Zea mays: one gene and its partners. The protein of the gene in region 2 binds, or shares a complex with, the protein of the main gene of each other region. Links are inferred from orthologs where the notes say so. Each region holds a gene or a part of one and is shown on either strand. Other genes may lie near its edges.

Region 1 (6,347 bases), on a different chromosome or scaffold from region 2:
GGAGTCAACGAGGACGAAGTATCAGCGGATACGTACAGCACCAGCCACTGCTCCAACACTGCGTAAACGGTCAGAACCACATGTGAACAAAAAGGTAGGAAAAGCAAAGGATGCCACTGTATTAGAAACGAATGAACCCACGATATCTTACCACGGAAAGCAATGGCCCCTGCTTAAACTTGCTATGAAAAGCAAAGGCGAGCGGCTTTGCTCCTTCTCCAGGTCCCCGGATGAACCCACTAGTCGTGAATTTCGACGGATTTAGTGGTGATTACGGAAAGTCAATGGAGCACAGTTTTACTGTAAAAGAAACGAATCTGCTCTTACACTAGTGATAGTGAGACGAGTGGAGATCTCCGCACGTCATATATCGCGATCAGGCCACGGTACATTTCGTTTCCATCTCTGAACGACAGTGCCAGACGTTCCCCCGATGCGTCCCATGCTAATTTCTCTATGCCTCGGCTATACGAACCAGTCAAAGCATTCATTAATCATTATTGAGTGGAAGTAAGATTCTGTGCTATTATAATGGATGGATGGACTTCCAAAAAAAACAAAGCGCATTTCAGAATGAAAGAATGTGGTGCGCGACAGCAGACAGCGGAATCTGAAGACAGAATTCTAAGGAAATTAAATGATTTTATGCCTTTTAGGTTGTTTCATGTGAGTTTTCTTTCCTTACAACCCTACAAACCTATGGTCCTATGCTATGTAAATCAATAACAATCCTGAGCTAATTCCCTTCACAAAAGTTACGTCAGCAATAAGTTACCACGTTCATTGCGAATGGGGTTAGTTAAAAAAAGGGTCAACAGCCAAAATTAGCGTGCAAGAAGAGAAAACTATGTAGTATAAAATGCGCATGAGATCAGAAGCCACATTAATGCTTCTGTTGTTACCTAACAATCAGGGAGGAAATTTCTGGAAGTTCAACTGGTAGGAGGTGAGCATCTGAAAGATATAAAGAGCACAGAACAAACGATCAGAATTGAGACAAATAAGACAACAACAAAGCTTTAGCAACAGAGTATTTGATTGGTTGCTTTTATATACCTAAAGATGGTGGCTTCGATGAGAAGTGAATTGAACCAAGCGTCGTCGAGTTAGAAAAGGATAATAATGCAACTCGACCTTCTGGGTCCCAATTTGCTCCCTGACAGCAACCCAATAAAACTAAGCAAAATTGAGAAGAATTTCACAATTATATACTATATGTGGTTTACAGGGGCAGTGGGCACATTATTTGTGTTGCCAAATAGAGTATTGTACTCACTTCTTAACTAAGGACTGTTGTAAAATTGTGCTCCAGCAAAAGAACAACAACAGAATATTGCAATGCAAAAAAATGATGTCATATGTTCCAAAAGCAGGTATTTGTGACTGAAGATATCACTTACAGACACATATCCATTAGACGAAGACCAGGGTTCTGAAGTCCATGTGTTTGTCTCCCAGAAGTGAAAAGTACCATCACTAGCAATAAATGAAATTTAAATTTTTGGAAATATTATCGACAAGAAATGAAAACGAAAAGTGAAAATTGACCATACAATTTAGCAACTAGAAGGTAATCTCCACTGGGTGACCACCGCACTAATGATATATTGCTTAATCCACGCCGTATAGGAGTTCCCAACCCTGAAGCAAAAGGAATGTGTCAAGATTATAGCCAACAATTCTGTATAAATGGGATTGACTGCATGTATTGAGAAAAGGACTGGTATACATACCTTGAGACACATCCCAAATTGTGAAAGATGAACTATTACATGAGGCAGATGCCAAGTATGTGGAGAGCAGTCAAGGAAAAAAATGTCTTCAACCGTTGAAATTTCCCACAAATGACTAAACCTACTGTAAACATCTATGTATGCATGGTGCTGTAAATTTGGCAAAAATAGAATTTTTGAAGTTAGCCACACACTGTATTTTAGTTATTTTACAGTTTTAAAACAAGAGAAACGGTGAGTAGTCATGGCTAAAGACCTCCAAACTCTTTTCTATGGCCTCCTGCCTCGGTTAGTCGGTTATTAGGTTGTTTTTTCCTTTTGTTCCAATGGCATGCCTGCATTGTGCATAATGGGTTTGAGTGTTTGTGTTGTGTTGGGTAAGTGGTGTTGTATATTTGGGTTAGCTTTCTTTGCCGACGAAATGATACAGAGGTGTTTAGCGAGTTAAATAAATAAAAGGAGAGATGAAAAGCAGCAGCAAAATTCACAATGCCACTATGAAACTTATCAAGGATATCTTCCATCAGGTTTCCAACAAAGTGCACTAACGAGCTCAGCAGAAGAGCCACGAAGAACATCCACAAGTATCCACTGACCACCAGAACCTCTAGGGAAGGCACTAAAGGAAGAAGAAGTGACCCCAGATTTCATGAATGGGACATTGCCAGGATATGATGCCGACCAGAGGCATATCCCTCCTCTGAAAAGAAAATGCTGATTTCAATATAAAAGTAAAGTATGACAGCAAATTATTCAGAGACAACAAGGATTGATTCAAGTTAAATGGTGAGGTGGCAGTAGTACACACTTGCAGGCAACTGCAATCATCTTCCCACTATTTGGTCTCCACTCAACAGCCTTAACATCCGTTTGATGATCATTTGTTAAAATGCATGGTTCTTTAGCATCTGTTAAAGAGATTGGCCAATGTTATGTTTTGCAACTAACCTGATGGATAGAGTTCAGTTCATAAATAAACTAATAAAACATAGCAAAATAGGCACAAGGCCGATCTTACCTGAGTCCTCAAAGTCTTGGACAGTAACCTGGTTCTTCCCAGACACGAATGCTAAGCAATGCTTGTATGGATTCCAACTTACTTTCTGCGTGTCAAATTCTTCTAGCAGATTTGGCTGGTAAACAAGAATGATCGAATTTGAGTACGACTGTAATGGTTTCGTAAAAAATCACACAGGAAATGTACAAGCAGGAAGCAAATCTAGGGTGTTCATCCCAAGAACAATAGCTGGAGGATAGATTTTTTTTTGGGAAGTATGCTGGATGAATTAGTAACTGGAGTTCTGATACAACATCAACCTTCAAGTTATGTTGAGCTGTGCTTTTGCAATCTGAGTAACATTGTTACCTCCTGAATCATGAAATAAGTTATTTTACTATGTTAAAACAATTCAACATATATCAGATCATGAAAGCACACTGTGGCACTAGGGAAGTGAGAAGCAGACAATGCATTCGCCTTTGGGCACAGAGTTTTCGTTGCATGACCATGTATTTGTATGTAGATATAAGCACCAGCAACTGACAAAAGATATGATAAAATTCTGGAGTTCACTTATCTACACACAAGCGAGTGGTTTAAGTACGCGGGTATCTCTGGGGACAAATTTGAGGAACATCAAATTGTAGTAACTCAGAATCTCAGTTAGGAATATAGGACAATCCAATGTGAACAGCATTGTAGTAACTCAAATTTATTTGGCTTGCAAACCAGAATGGTCGAATGTGAGTATCATTGTAATGATTTACTAAAAAGTTTACATTGAGGATAAGTAATTCAGATAGGACGATCCAACTCACGTCTAGTGGAGGGAAGACCATCCGCCTGAAGAAGTCGGATATGGTGGCTGCCAAACCAGCGGTGGGCACAGTGTCAGCAGGCTCGACTTGGTCCGCGGCAGGAGCAGCAGGCTCGCGGCTGGCGAGAAGAAGAGCCTCCGGCTGGAACGGAATCGGGGCGAACACCATCCCCTGCAACACGACGGCCAACAAGCCCCAGATTTGAGCCCCTCGTCAGGCAGGCAAGCACAACGTGGTTCACAGATGAAGAGTGAGTTCGAGGGGAGCGGACTGACGAGGACATCCCCATATGCGTCCTTGGCGCGGTCGTCGGAGAGGGCATCCACCGCAACTGCGAGAGGCCAGGGGGAGGCGGATTGAATCAAACAAGCGAGCGGAAATGCTTACTACAGCTAGTTAAAATGAGTGTGTGGTTGTTGGGGGGCAGCGGATTTGCTGGGCGCTTACCGAGGTCGCGGTTGATCTCGCAGATGGTGACGGCGCCCGGCGGAGGGAAGCTCGGCATCGCAGCTAGCTAGCTTGATAGGGTTAGGAGATAGATTCGAGGTTCCCGGACCCAGCCCGAAATGGGGCGCTTGAGCTCGACCAGTACACGAGGCAGCCAGGGGAAGCGGCGGCGGAAGCAACCGAGCGGCGAACGGGGAGAGAACGGAGGCGCGAGCGCGACGGGCAGACCAGGGGCGGATGTGTTTTTCGCCTCTGCAGCCCATACAAAACCAGCCCATAAACAACCAGGCCTTGAAGGCCCAGCCCAAAGCACCTCGCACCTCGCCTCTCGATCCACCATTCTCCGTCCGCCGTCACCCACGCTTGCTGGCTCCGCCGACGCATCTCGCAAGCTGCCAGCGCCCCCCTCGCCCCTCTCCACTGTGGTCCGCAGCCGCTTGGAGCTTGCAGCTTGCCTGTTCGTCGTCTCGGTCCCAGCCGGCAGCCGGTCAACCCTCCAACCCCCTCTCTAGGCGGCTAGGCAGCAAGTCTCCCAGGCTGGCAGGCTCCCAGCCGGCAGCGGCAGGAGCCCGCACAATCTGCTCGGCCCCTGGCCCCTACCATGCTTGGCCGCCTGGGCACCTTGGTGCTAAACCTGCTGAGGCAGAGAGTAGAAAGGACATGACATCGCTCTACTAACTGGCCACCGGTAATCAATATTTCATCCCTTTTTATCTGGCAAATTTTTACTTTAATGATTAATTTAGTTGCATTGAGCGGGTGGTGGAAGGGTTTAAGTGTTAAATGTGACCTACGGTTGAATCACGATCTAATGGATCAGATGGTTTGCTTGCACGCTTGCACAGAAGGACTGCTTGCATAGCAGTCGTTGCCGCATTGCATACCTCAGAGCCTGGAGGCTAGAATGGAGAAAATATAAAAAAGATTCTTAGCATTGTACATGTTGCTTTGGTAGAATTGATATTGTTATTTGTGTTCTTCCTTGTACCTAGTATACATTTTGGTATGTCGCCAGTAAGATTTCTAGCCTTAATTATTTACCCCCTCCCCACACACCCCCACCCACCCCTACCCTGGATGATTTCCGCCACTGATCAGCAGCTTTCTTTTCTCCTCTTTATTCAGTGAACCTTATCAAGTCATGTAAATAGAACAATCCCACGTGCATTCATGCGAACCTGGTGCTTTCCATTCCATTGTCTACTAAACTGACTCCGCGTGCAATCTCCTTCCTTCTTGCAGTTGCAGCTCCAGCAAGTCGCCATTGCTCTAGAGATCCACATGTGGTTCTCGGTGCATTTTCGTATCTTTTAGAATTGAACTGTGAAAAACACAATGGCATCGATCTTATCTGGAGCAAGGAGCCTTCACTCACTCGCTCTGCTATCGCGGATGTTGGGCGAGACGACTCAGCTCGGTCCTTTTAACCGCAGCGTGCAGCGGAGGTGGAGAAAGCCTGTAGATTCGGCAAGAACACGTCTTGAGGGAAGAACGAGGGATCATAGGCTGGACAAACTAATGGTTCAGCTGAGGAACTTGAGGCTGGCCTTGGCTTTGCATGAGGTGATATCTCAGCAGAGGAACGGATACGCGTCTCTCCAGCTCCTCTCAAGGTGGAGGCATGAGGTCGGGCTGAACATTGAGGTCGGTGCTTTCCTCAAGAAATACCCCCACGTGTTTCAGACCTACGTGCACCCTGTCAAGAGGAACCACTGCTGCAAGGTCACGCAGAAGATGTCCGACTTGATCGCAGAGGAAGACGCTGTGGTCAGGGAGAATGAGGTCGGCGTAGTTCAGCGGCTGAAGAAACTTCTCATGCTCTCTGTGGATGGAACTCTGAACATGCACGCGTTATGGCTCATAAGAAGGGAGCTTGGGCTTCCTGATGATTACAGGTCCTCTATACTGCCGAACCATCGACATGATTTAATTCTCAAATCCCCAGATACTCTATCACTTTTCTCTAGGGATGAAACATTGGCTGTAGCTAAGGTCGACGAGTGGAGGAAAAGGGAGTACACAGAAAAATGGCTAGCTGAATCAGAGACAAAATATGCTTTCCCGATCAACTTCCCAACTGGATTTAAGGTTCAAAAAGGTTTCAGGGAGAAACTCAAGAACTGGCAGAGGCTTCCCTACACCAAACCTTATGAGAAGAATGATTCGCATCCGATATGCAACGTGGAGCGGCTTGAGAAACGCATTGTTGGTGTTCTTCATGAGCTTTTGAGCCTGACGGTCGAAAGGATGATGCCACTTGAGAGACTGTCACACTTCAGAAGATTGTACACCATGGAGGTAAACCTGCGAGAATTTTTTCTCAAGTATCCAGGCATTTTCTACATCTCG
Region 2 (5,792 bases):
TTTAAAATGGGAGAAGACACATGAATAAACAAAATAGAAAATAGAAATTCAATATTGCAACTAAGTGAAAAAAAACCAAACCTTTAAGTTTAAATTAATCTTCTTATGCTTGTCAATCTCAGATTTAAGGGACGCCTACAATAGGACAAAAAAATATAAGTACTACAGCGAATTAGTTAATATATTAGTCATGAAAGTTGGAACTATTATCACCTCTACATCATTCAGCTTCTTTTCCTTGGAATCCAATTCAGATTGACATAATGAAAGCTTATCCTCCAAAATTTTTATGGCAACTTCTTTCTCAGAAAGCAGTATCTTTGCACTTTCAAGCTCCATAGAATTCTCTCTCAAGGTTGACTGTTGAAAACGATAATTATGTTAATGTATGTGATAGTAAGACGATTAAACTATGACCCAAAAAAGTCAAGCAAATCCAATATCATACAACTAATGAAATTAGACACTTAATGACTCATGTACAGTTAGAGACTTGCGCCATCACTTTCACCCAAAGCAAGCATCCATCCAAAAGATAACAATAATCGTAATACAGAGTACAGTGCAGAAGCTCATACAGTTTATGTCACAAACTCACAGCAAAGAAAATAAAGTGGTACAAAAATATTTGGTACAAAATAGGGAAACAAGACACTATAGTGATTCATCAAATGTTTAGTCAAACTAGACAAAAATGACAGTCATCAAACTCTTTTGTGCAGAAAAAGAAATCCAATCATGTATACATCATTGACCAAGAAACATTCAAAATGGCATCATCACAAAGAAAAACGAAGAGGAAAACAGAAGACTAACTTTGATATTTTGAAGTTCATTCTTCATGGCTTCATAAGTGTTCAAATCAATGCCTTTGCTATTTTCAATCAGCTGCCAAGAAAACATTAATACACAACTGCAGAACTCAACATATGAAGAATAGAATGAATTAATATATAGATTTTTATGCACATATTGTTTTCTCACAATGTTTACAATTTTTTTATGGCAATAACCTGCATATTACAAACCAACAGACTAAAACTTGCTTGGGACAAAAACCACAGCTGCTGTTCTTAATGAAGCCAAAGGAATTTCATGGCATTTTATCATTACTGTTAGAAAGTGGACTAAAACTTACCTCAGAAATACTTTGGTTGAGATTAGCTATTTCTGCCTTCTGCATTTCCAGTTCTCTTTTGCACATTTCAGCGTCTACCTCCTTCTCCAGTAGAAGGTTCTGCAACCTCTCAGATTCCATTTTAGCCTTTTGAGCTTCTTCACGGAATTTCTGAACGCACAAAATTAAAATAAAAAATTATGCACATCCAGATATGAACCAGCAATTAAACATTACCAATTTAATATATTACCTGGCATTCTTCAAAATTGTGCCTGTTCTCCTCCCTAAGTTGTATGTTGCTTTCACGAAGCAAGTTAATTTCTCTGACCTGAGGTCGGTCATTTCAAATAAAAAACAATAAATAAGGTAATAAGGCTAAAATACACTCAATAACCAGGTCAAAGCAACATAGCAATGCGACATAGCTATGTGATCAACTAATCCCAACAATTGAATTGCACCTGAATCTGCAGTGACTTGAACTCTTCATCCTTGAACATCAATGCCCTGGCACTATCAGCTTGACTTCGCAACAAGTCCTGTGCCTCCTTGGCAGACTTTAAAGAACTTTCCAGCTGTATTACCATTATAAAGAAACATATGAAATTAGAGACATCAATACATTCAACCAAAAAAGTTTGTAAAGTAAACTACAATGGAGGTTCACATGCTCCATCAAATACTACTTCTAACACAAAAGTCCCAACCAAACATTCCGAATTTAGTCTATAAAAAACCCCCTTTCCTTGAAGACAGATGAATTAAAAAGGGTCATCAATTTCAGAGCATGTACGCATATAGCAGATAACACCGTTTCCAGAGCAAATTGGCTATTATTAGGGAGGCGTCAATTTAAACAAACAATTGCCAGTAGAGCTGGTGTTTTGACACCAACTAGAAGGCAACATGACGCACAGCAAAAAAAAATCATAGATCCTACGACACTGAACCAATGCACAGTTTATCAAACAGAAATCGAACAACTTTTTAATTATATGGTCAACATGGCATATTGCATCTGGCAGAATGTGCTGCAGTTTTTTAACCAGCAATAGATGGTCCTCATGGAATCTTATATTTTTAAATTCAAAAGCATTTTGAATAAGGACAAATGCAGGGCAGGTTGCCAGGTGCTAGCATAACATACTTCTATCTGAAGCCGAGACTTCTCCTGTTTAAGCAATGATATCTCTGTTTCGGCCTGAAATAGTCAATAGGCTGAATAAGAACCACATCTAGTGCAAACTGAATACTAGACAAAGCCTCCAAATCCAATGCTTACTATTTCTTTCGATCTGCGCAGATAACTGATGACACTTTGTAGATCATCTTCTGCATGTGAATTATCAGTACGATGTGATGAAAGCCCAGCAATATTCCGTTCTTTCTCGGCTAACCGAATGTGTAAAGCTTCTAACTGATTGTGTAGAATTCTATTCTGCACTCATAACAAAATAGAAATCATGAAAAAATGCATGCTAGTCAAACTCAGAATCATTAATTGTGAAAAGAATAGCATTAAGAAGCAGTGAAAGCACAGACTCCCAATATATGCCTAGTTGAAGTAGACCATAAAAATACATACGTCCACAACCGTCACTAACCAATTTCATCTTCAAATTATTTACTACTACAAATGAGACATTTATCTAGCTGGAGAGTTCAAGCCTTTTTGCATGATACTCCCTACATTCCAAATTATAAAACATTTTGGCTTTTCTAGATACATGCTTTTACTATGTATCTAGACAAGTAGACATAGTGTATATCTAAGTGCATATATAGCAAACACTATGAATACAGAAAAGCCAAAATGTATGTAATTTTAAATGGAGGGAGCTGTGTTTTCATTATCATCCGACTAATCGCGATTAGTCGGGCTGGTAGGTTTTGGGTGGTCAATCAGGGCAGGCGACCCGATTAGGACACTGGACACCTGATCGCCTTGGCCATCCGACTAGTTGCCGACTAGCTACGATTAGTCGCTCGTTCATCAGGAGATAATGTCCAACCAAGGTTCGACGCGCCTCAAATTTTTATGGGCTTTTTTCTGGCAAGCAGCCGGCTACAGAGAGGTGAAACGTCCGCCGGCAGCCTCAATAAAACCTTCCAAAATTCTAGATCTCTGAAATTCTCAATCGCTGTTCATTACTTGTTCTTCTAAATGTCCAAAATTCTAGAGTGGTAGTAAGTGTTTCTTTGCTGTTTTGAACACCAGCATTACTTTAGGGTCACTGGGGAGAAACTATTTTTAGATGGATGAACAAATATCTTCTCTTAAGTCAGTATTGCAAAATTCATGTCATGTTTAATCTTTACTTTATATATACCATATATACGATTAGTCACCTGGTCGGAACCCTAGGTCAACCAGCTGGTCGCTCGACCAGAAAACATAGGGAGTACCATACTGTGCTACGCTCATAATAGGGATGAAAACAGATGAAAGCGGGATCAAAAAAAGCCGGGAGCGGGAGCGGCAGGACCCAAAAAGCCGGGACCAAGATAGACGGCAATACGGAACGGGTAAATACGAGTGGGGATTCAGCAGAAACAGACATAAACCAGAATATTAAAACCAAACAGAGTACACAATAACACACTTGAAGTTACAGCTATTGAGTTATATTATTTTTTATATCTAAGATGTACTGTAATTTCCCGGTTATATGAAAATGGTTGGGACAAAAAAGGTAGAGGGTACAGGATTTATCCTGTCCAGTTTCATCCCTAACTGACAACAATTACTTGTTCCAAATATATGTCTACACCCCAGCAGTAACAATATGTCCACTACAAATTAACACTTGAAGTAGGCATGTGCTATGAAAAGAAAACAAAAGGTGAATGTCCAGCATGCAGTTACAACAGGCAGAAAATTACTTAAACAAGAATAACAAACATCAAATGTAATAAAAAAACTTTTTGTGGTAGTGTATTAGATATTCAACACAAAAATTGCTAAATAACCTGATCATTAAGCTCATTATACTTCTGCAGGGCATCGTCCTTCTCTTTCAATAAGCCTATCTTTTCTTGTTCAGCAGAAGATCTTAGACATTCCTGAAATGATTGCAGTATGAATTAGTTACGTAAGAAACAGAACAATGGAAACTACAAAATTCAATGCAACATTGATAATGTACACCGGTAGGCGGTAGCACATCAAGAAATCGATACATTTTTTCTCAAAAAAAATGCACGAAGAGGCCAAATTTGATTTTATTTCTGATTGCTTTGCTCACTTCTCGCAAAATAAGGAACCATATATAATCAAAATTTAACAAAAATAACACATGTGCTAACGATATACCCAGCATTAAAAGTATATTATAGCATTAGAAAACCACAGAATATAGATAAACTCAAAGTCCACCAAAGAAAACAGAGGTGGCATTCTGGGAACCCAAGCCAGGCATACAACAACACAAGCGAAATCTTTTCGTCCCAAGCAAGTTAGGTTAGGCTAGAGCTGAGACCCAACACAAGCCACAAATCAAGTTCAGGCACATGGATAGTTGTTTTCCATTCGCTCCAATTCAAGGCTAAATCTTTGGGTATATTCCATTCGATCAAACGGCATTGGACAAGTTTTTCTTCAATTGGTGTTACCCCTAGCCTACCACGTATATATCTAATCATACATGGGTTACCGATATCCGTGCGGGGGGCTTACTGTCCAAGTTCTGGTCGAATATCTGAGAATTTTGGAGTTGGTTGATGCTGTTATTCTGCAACCAGGAGTTCTTGATCAATTCGTTTGGTCGAATATCTGAGAATATCTGAGTACTCTTATCAATCTGAATCTGCTTATCGGGTTTTCTTCTTAGGGACAATTAAATTTGGGCCTTGGAAAAGGATCTGGAAAAGCTGGCCACCCCTCCGGTGCAAATTCTTCATCTGGCTGCTGTTAAAGAATAAATGTTGGACGGCGGATCGCTTGGCTAGACGTGGGCTCCCGCATTCTATTATCAGTCCTCTTTGCGACCAGGAGCAGGAGACCATGCAGCATCTTCTTATCTCCTGTGTTTTCCCACGTGAAGTTTGGGCCATGGTATTCACTTGCTTGGGGCTGCCTACACATATCCCGCAGCCCAGTGGAAGGAGTTTTTCAGGCTGGTGGTTTGGGGTAATCAATCAAGTTCCTAAGGAGGTCAAGGGCATGAATTCCTCGATCATTTTGGTAGCCTGGAAAGTCTGGAAACACAGGAATGAGTGTGTGTTTGAGGGCTTTAGTCTGTCGTAAAATTGTGCAGGAAGACAACCTGTGGTGTCTTGCTGGTAATTCAGCGCTTAGCCTTCTGTGTGCGATGTTGGTGGGGCTGGGTTCTTGAGCAGTCCCCCTGGTTGTGTTTAGGTCTTTTTTCCTCCTGAGTGTGGCGCGCCTGTGTTTGTAAGACTGAGACTGTGTCTGTATGGTGTTGGCATCGTCCCCCACATGTTTTCCCTTGCTTAATAAAATGACATGCAGCTCTCTTGCGTCGTTCCAAAAAAAAACTCGATCCCTTCTTGCATGGCCACAAAACCAACGCAACCCGCAATACTTATCTGTTGAACATAACGTCTTTTTGTAGGCCAACATTCTCCACCATACAACATAGCAGGTATAATCATCATCCTATAAAAATTGCTTTTTAGCTTACGTGGTACCCTCTTGTCGCATAGGAAACTA
Region 3 (6,298 bases), on a different chromosome or scaffold from region 2:
AAAGTTTATCCCGTGAGATTGAAACGGGGCCTTAATAGCTGACAGATGACTAACTATCGCTGTAGGTGAAGATTTACACGGCTAACAACGTGAGGGAAGAACTTCAAGACGCACAGCGTGATTTCATTAGAGCATCGGTAGGAGTGAGTCGGAAAGGGAAGCTTCTGGCCCCTAAGATACTGCACTGCTTTGCCCGTGGCTTTGTCGACGACAACAGCTTCCCAATCTGGATCTCGCATTTCCTACCCCAGCAGCAAGCTACGTTTGTCGATCACTGCGTGTCTCAACGGCGGCAAAGTCTCCTGGGCACCCGTACTTTCGGCGTCGTTCCATTTGATTCTCGGTTTCGCTACCTCTTCCTGCCAGATGCGGGATCGTTAAATTAACTGCTATCCGAGATTCAGATGCTTCCCTGCCTAGACAACCTGAATGGTAAACTGCACTAGCCTTTAGTGTGTTTATCTCCTGTTATATATGAATTCAGTCACAACAAAAGGTTTATGTGATTGCCCTCTGCTGATATATTACATGCTTTCAGACAGCCTAACTGCCATCTGCCAACAGAAGTGATGAAGTCCAAAGCCCTGATAGACCGCTCAACAGTGTAAGAGCTGTCTCTCGAGTTACCATCATGTCTGGAAAAGTAAGTTTATATCCAGCGACCATGAGAGTATCAAGATTTGAGATAGCAGTCACTGGATTGACCCGTGTCATTGGAAGTCAGATGCATATCTTTGGAATTCCTTAATCGGTTCGTCCGTCTCGACATCTTGTCGAGTTTCATTAAAAGAAAAACTGTACATAACTCCTACTCCCAGATAAAAACTTAAGTTCATCATGGTGCTATTTATGCATTGTATCTGTTCATCATGGTCCTGACGTTCATCGCATTAACGGTTATCAAGACCACTACGCATCACTCTTAACAGCTTTTCTCGGATTTTGTTGCTAGCAAATGTCTCTGGATCCTATATGTTACTGACTGGTTTACTGTACCTTATTACCCTTGTCGCCTCTGAAGTTCTGCTTCTGGAGGCCTGGCAGAAGAACCGGATCCCATATCTAGCCTGCACCGCAGCCATGGCAGTTGCTCCAACAACTTTGGGCTTGGGCATGTTGTTCCTCTGGCCCGTCTCAGGGTCCGTCCTGCCCATCCTTGATGCGATTGCAAATGTCCGAGCACTCTATCAGGCTAATTGAACAACAAACTGATCAGATCAGAAAGTTGAGCTCACTTTGGTGACCCACGAGCAGTGGTAGCATCTGCTATAGTGAAAAGAAGAGGGGGCTGTAGTGCAGGTAGTAGTAGTACCCACCAGTACTGCCGGCTGCGGAAGCCGTCCTTGAACACCACGAGGGGCCTGCGCACACCAGAAAACAACCCAACGTGAATGAACAAGTCAAACGCACCGGCAGTACTCGTCCGCCGGTGTAGGTCCGGTGGCTGGTGTTTTTCTTTATTATTTTACCTCCTGACGTTGAGGGGCCCCTCGCCGGGCGCGCCGCCGCCGCCGCGGATGCAGGTGCCGACGCACTTGGTCGTGCACTGCAACGCCTTGGCCGACCTGGGGTGCTTGATCCGCTCTTGCTTCCCGTCGCCCCCTGCTCACCAGCTCCTCCTCCGTCAGCCACGCTGACGCTACGACTACGACATACGCATGCACAAAAGGGAAAAAGGTTGCGAAGCATGTGCCGAATGTGCGTGTCTGCACGCACCGGAGAGCGTGGGCGGGACGTTGGAGAAGGTGTCCGCCTGGGGCGCCGGGGTCGAGAGGATGGCCGCGAGAGCCAGCGCCACCACGGCCTGTGCCGCCGGCGCCGACATCCCCCGGCCCGGGTGCCTGCGTGGCCTCGGCTCTCAGGCGACGAGCCGACGCCGACGGCGAGATGGTGGCACTGGCAGTGGCAGGCACAGGAACAAGACAAGAGCGCGCGCACCGTGGTCCGTGGCCTCGCGGAATCCAGGTATAATAGACCTCTGGTGTGGCCACCGGCCAGCCACCCGGTCCCGGATCAGCCTCGCTGGCTGCCGAATCACCAGCGCTAACACAAGTGACCAGTGGACTCGCGAGTTGCGACTGGAGGAAGGAAGATACGATGGGCCCACCTGCTCCCGGGCTAGGCCGGATCTTTATCGGGCCTGCGGCACCTAGCCCAGCGCTTGCACCTCACCCAGGACGAGGCCCAGGGAGGATCCTCCCGACTCCGACGCTGCGTAGGACTCCCCGACTCCGACGGCGTCCGCCCGCGTCGCGTGCCACGCCCACGCCACGCCGGCCGCCGCGAGGAAAGAACACCGGGTACTTCCCCTTCCCTTACGCTCCAGTTTCACAAGTCGCGAGCCGTGCGTCGCGTCGACGCGAGTTCCGCGTGAGGGAGCAGGCAGTTGCAGTTGGAGGCGGTGACGAAACCCTAGGACTTGAGCTCCAGCGCACGGCTCGGGTCCTCCTCACCGTTCCCGGCGATGGACCGGCGGCAGGAGCTCTGCAGGAACTTCCAGCGCGGCAGGTGCGGAGTATTCTCCTCCCCCTCTCCGTTGCCGCGGCATGCGATTGCCTCCGGCTGTGCACATTTATTTAAGTTCAGTCGTTATGCTCGCTCTGGGTGCCCGTACCTTCTGTGGTTTTCATTCACGTCCTGGATGGTGCAGCTGCAAGTACGGATCGCACTGCAGGTTTGTGCACGCCTCCTCTCAGCAGCAGCAGCAGGCGAAGCCCAACCCGTTTGGGTTCGGCTTAGGGAGTAGGCAGCAGCAACAGCAGCAGTCTTCGTTTCGTGCGCAGTTCCAGCAGCAGCAGCAGCAGAAGCCCAACCCGTTTGGATTTGGAGTGCAAGGCAGTGCGGCTGCACAGTCCAGAAACGCTCCTGGCCAGGCAAAGGTTTGTGTTGTCTGATGGATACATAATCTGTTTTTTTATGGTTCTTTCTCACTTGTGGAATTCAGCTTGTGTAACGATCATTCCTTTATTTGACTGATGGATTTGTTGAATCAGCCATTTCAAAATAAATGGGTAAGGGACCCCTCAGCCCCAACGAAGCAACAGGAAGCGGCACAGCCACCAGCAGCAGCCCACACGTGAGTCTGCGATTCTGGGATGCTGTACTTTTGAATCCTGCTTGATTATTCCTTGCTATATGTGAGTCACCAACTTTGTGAGTTTTTTTGCCAGCTCCTGTACAGATCCTGAGTCCTGCAGGCAACAGATTGCCGAGGATTTTAAGAATGAAACTCCACTCTGGAAGCTTACGTGCTATGCTCACCTCAGGAGGTAAATAACTAACTCGTCGTGCTTCAACTAGTGGCATCTGCCTCCCTCAATGCATTGTGCTCATCTTTTTGTATTTTGTTTGTGTTAGCGGTCCTTGTGACATCACGGGAGATATTAGCTTTGAAGAGCTGAGAGCTAACGCGTATGAGCAAGGCAGGCAAGGGCATCCTCTGCAGTCAATAGTAAGCTTTGGCGCTTCCAACTTTCTTCCCGTTATCGAGTCTTGATTTGATTGGATTTTTCCAGTTGGAAGTATCAAGTATGTGATCTTCCACATTGAATTATGTGATAAAACATTCCTACAAGGGCCATGGAAAATGATATATAATAAACTGTATGAAAACCACATGTGATATTATTAAATGTTTGTGATCGTACCTTTGTGTCCCTTATTCCTGTTAGGTTTTCTAATGGTAGAGGCATGCAAAATGTACCTGCTTGAGCAACAAGACCTGTATTTATCAGAACTCAATTGGAGCTGCGCCTTTTGTAGCAACACAACAGTACTTACTTTAGTTTCTCTTATATACTGTATAGTTTAGTCATCATAGAAATGATCTTTGATGGATTTTATCAAGAATGACATCTAATTCATTTGTTTCCTTTCTTCAGGTAGAGGGTGAAAAAAATTTGAAAAATGCAAAGCTGACGGACTTTAATAATTTTCTGAACACGCCACGTCTATCGGTATCACAAACTCCAAGCTTTCCAACTGTGGCTTCCTTCCCTGAAGTGAAAAATAACTCAGCATTTGGGGTTTCTCAAAATAATGGACCACCAGTGTTTAGTAGTTTCAGTCAAATTGGAGTAACAACTAATATGGGACCTGGGTCCAGGTAATGTTCACTTGATTATCTTGGAGGTTGGGCAATATTAACCTTACTGTTATTTTTTTGAATAAACTGATGATTCCATCAGAAATTAGTGGTCTTCAAAATAATCTACAGACATTATTATCCATTTTGATCAGTCAGTTTTTGTGTGCACGTGCCATATTAAATTCAATGAGCTATCTCATGCAGAACTACACCAGGAGTCCCAACCAATACTCTTTTTGGTCAATCTACCCAACCAAGCCATCCAACATTTCCTGCACCTACTTTTGGTCGTTCTGATATGAAATTTGGAGTTTCAGGTATGTATTATTGATTAATCCGTGCAGTTACACTGCTACCCTTTATTCAACGAACTTGGTACTCAGTCAATTCAATTGTGCGTAATATAGTTTGCGTGAATGTGTCTATCCATGTCTAGTTGGTTTTTTAATCATTCTGATTCATGGCTCTTCGTTTTTGGCATATGTTTATAAAGAACTAATCATTTGATAGGTTTCTAATATATGCTAAAGATTTAGGGATAATCTTGTATATCACTTAGGACGAGCATACATTTAATTTATATACAACTTTTTTAGGATTGTAGTTGGACTCAACAGGAACTCTTTTGGACACTAATATCGAATCAGAATTAAATTAAATAAACATGCTAGACACTTATAGTTCTGCATATTCTTTTCTTTGTCGTCTTTCTTTTTCTTAATTTAGCCATTTAGGAAATATGTGATTCGGCCTATTGCTTTTGGCTGCCATTTCAACTTATAGGATTTTACAGGTCCATTTGGAAGCCAGATATCACAACAATCATCTGGGACTTTTCAAGGCTCAAACATGTCCAGTTTTGGCAATTTCTCAAAGCCTCATGCCAGCTACCAGCAGTCCCCTTCCTCCTCTAGCCATCACAGAGACATTGATAGGCAGTCACAAGATTTACTTAGTGGAATTGTGGTTCCTACAAGTGCCACAAATGAAGCTCCTGTTGAGTAAGTCCTTCAATAAGATGTGTAGAGTATGCTGACATTGAGTACGTAATATATGGAGCTTAAGTAAATGTCTATGTGTGTGTTGGGGTAGGGGGTGGGGGGATGGGAGGTGGAGGAAAAAAAGACCAACACTATGATGAATGGGTATTATTTTTTGACTTCGCGAATATGCAGTACTTGTGTAGATGCCATGGAGAAAGTACTGCTCTTCCTCACAAAGGACTAGCTAAAACTAACCAATCAGACTTGAATGTTCATGTATATATATGCTTGTTTGTGTCGATTTGATTAGTAACCTTTGCAATATTTTATGCGACATTGTGATTTTTCTTGTTGCTTATATCTATTTTCCCCCTATGTTTATTCAACAGGGACAATAAAAATGAAAATCAGGATGATAGTATCTGGTTGAAGGAAAAATGGTCAATTGGAGAGGTATGGAATACTTTTTTGTGGTCCATGTTGATAGTTTTATTTCTACACTAGTTTGCCTATAGACATTATTATTCCTGTACAGTACATATTTGTTCCTGTTTTATTAATGACCAGCCATTGAGTTGTCAGTCACGGATCACCCACATGTTGTTGCATGTGATGTACGATCGTGTATGATATGCAACTACCTCTAGTTTTTGAATCAGTGTCGTCTGCAATATTTTCTTATTTGGTGTTTTCTGTGTCCAAAATCTTTTGCATGTACCTTCCTGTCTAGCTGTATTTTTTTTTCTTTTCCTTGTTGAGCACCTGTTTGATGTGCATTTTTCATGTTTGATACCTTTCTAAATTTGAACTATTGTGAGACGTATGTACTATTTTAGGACATAAATCCATGCCACTAAGAACGGAAACCCATAATCAATTATACATATATGTTGACTATTGATGGGAACCTGCTTATCTACCTCGCTACATTTTTATTGCATATGCAATCGTATTTAGTGGCAACAGATATCTGGTTTTGATTCACATCAACTGTTTTTCAGATTCCGCTGGGTGAACCGCCACAGAGGCACGTTAGTCACGTGTTTTAGCAACATTCTTGTATTTCTGTGTCGTGGAACCACTGTCAAGTCAGCTTCACTGTCTCCTTCCATATTGTCGGGACACCATCTTACAATTTCTCCTCCAGGTAACAATGGTACATGTTCTCTGGTTTGTCTTGTTCCATATGAAAAAATAGAACCTTAGCACCATGTTTGATTCCATTATC

Evidence for each region.
Region 1: Nuclear-pore anchor (region 2) and Aladin-like share a complex: the UniProt entries of both Arabidopsis thaliana proteins name them as parts of the nuclear pore complex. The link is inferred for Zea mays from reciprocal best matches to the Arabidopsis thaliana genes NUA and AT3G56900.
Region 3: Nuclear-pore anchor (region 2) and Zinc finger CCCH domain-containing protein 46 share a complex: the UniProt entries of both Arabidopsis thaliana proteins name them as parts of the nuclear pore complex. The link is inferred for Zea mays from reciprocal best matches to the Arabidopsis thaliana genes NUA and AT1G75340.

Annotation. Positions count from the first base shown.
Region 1 is NC_050105.1:1,559,193-1,565,539, reverse strand, and holds the start of Aladin-like, read right to left. Parts: upstream 4,179-6,347; 5' UTR 4,057-4,178; coding exon 3,999-4,056; intron 3,883-3,998; coding exon 3,827-3,882; intron 3,723-3,826; coding exon 3,552-3,722; intron 2,867-3,551; coding exon 2,752-2,866; intron 2,642-2,751; coding exon 2,542-2,641; intron 2,434-2,541; coding exon 2,251-2,433; intron 1,793-2,250; coding exon 1,734-1,792; intron 1,642-1,733; coding exon 1,554-1,641; intron 1,477-1,553; coding exon 1,401-1,476; intron 1,157-1,400; coding exon 1,057-1,156; intron 955-1,056; coding exon 903-954; intron 466-902; coding exon 328-465; intron 240-327; coding exon 152-239; intron 59-151; coding exon 5-58; 3' UTR 1-4. Other genes in the region: protein ROOT PRIMORDIUM DEFECTIVE 1-like, read left to right, coding at 5,334-6,347.
Region 2 is NC_050099.1:187,927,131-187,932,922, reverse strand, and holds part of Nuclear-pore anchor, read right to left. Parts: intron 4,184-5,792; coding exon 4,091-4,183; intron 2,559-4,090; coding exon 2,403-2,558; intron 2,322-2,402; coding exon 2,268-2,321; intron 1,696-2,267; coding exon 1,582-1,695; intron 1,449-1,581; coding exon 1,371-1,448; intron 1,289-1,370; coding exon 1,139-1,288; intron 889-1,138; coding exon 817-888; intron 361-816; coding exon 214-360; intron 136-213; coding exon 82-135; intron 1-81. UniProt on the Arabidopsis thaliana protein: Component of the nuclear pore complex. Acts as a docking site for activities required for desumoylation and mRNA export. Required for the proper expression or localization of a subset of miRNAs.
Region 3 is NC_050100.1:60,014,775-60,021,072, forward strand, and holds the start of Zinc finger CCCH domain-containing protein 46, read left to right. Parts: upstream 1-2,120; 5' UTR 2,121-2,464; coding exon 2,465-2,508; intron 2,509-2,650; coding exon 2,651-2,879; intron 2,880-2,993; coding exon 2,994-3,076; intron 3,077-3,170; coding exon 3,171-3,269; intron 3,270-3,357; coding exon 3,358-3,451; intron 3,452-3,881; coding exon 3,882-4,105; intron 4,106-4,291; coding exon 4,292-4,404; intron 4,405-4,880; coding exon 4,881-5,088; intron 5,089-5,459; coding exon 5,460-5,523; intron 5,524-6,071; coding exon 6,072-6,119; 3' UTR 6,120-6,217; intron 6,218-6,298. Other genes in the region: uncharacterized protein, read left to right, coding at 66-386; uncharacterized protein LOC100275809 isoform 2 precursor, read right to left, coding at 1,232-1,361, 1,470-1,602, 1,717-1,825.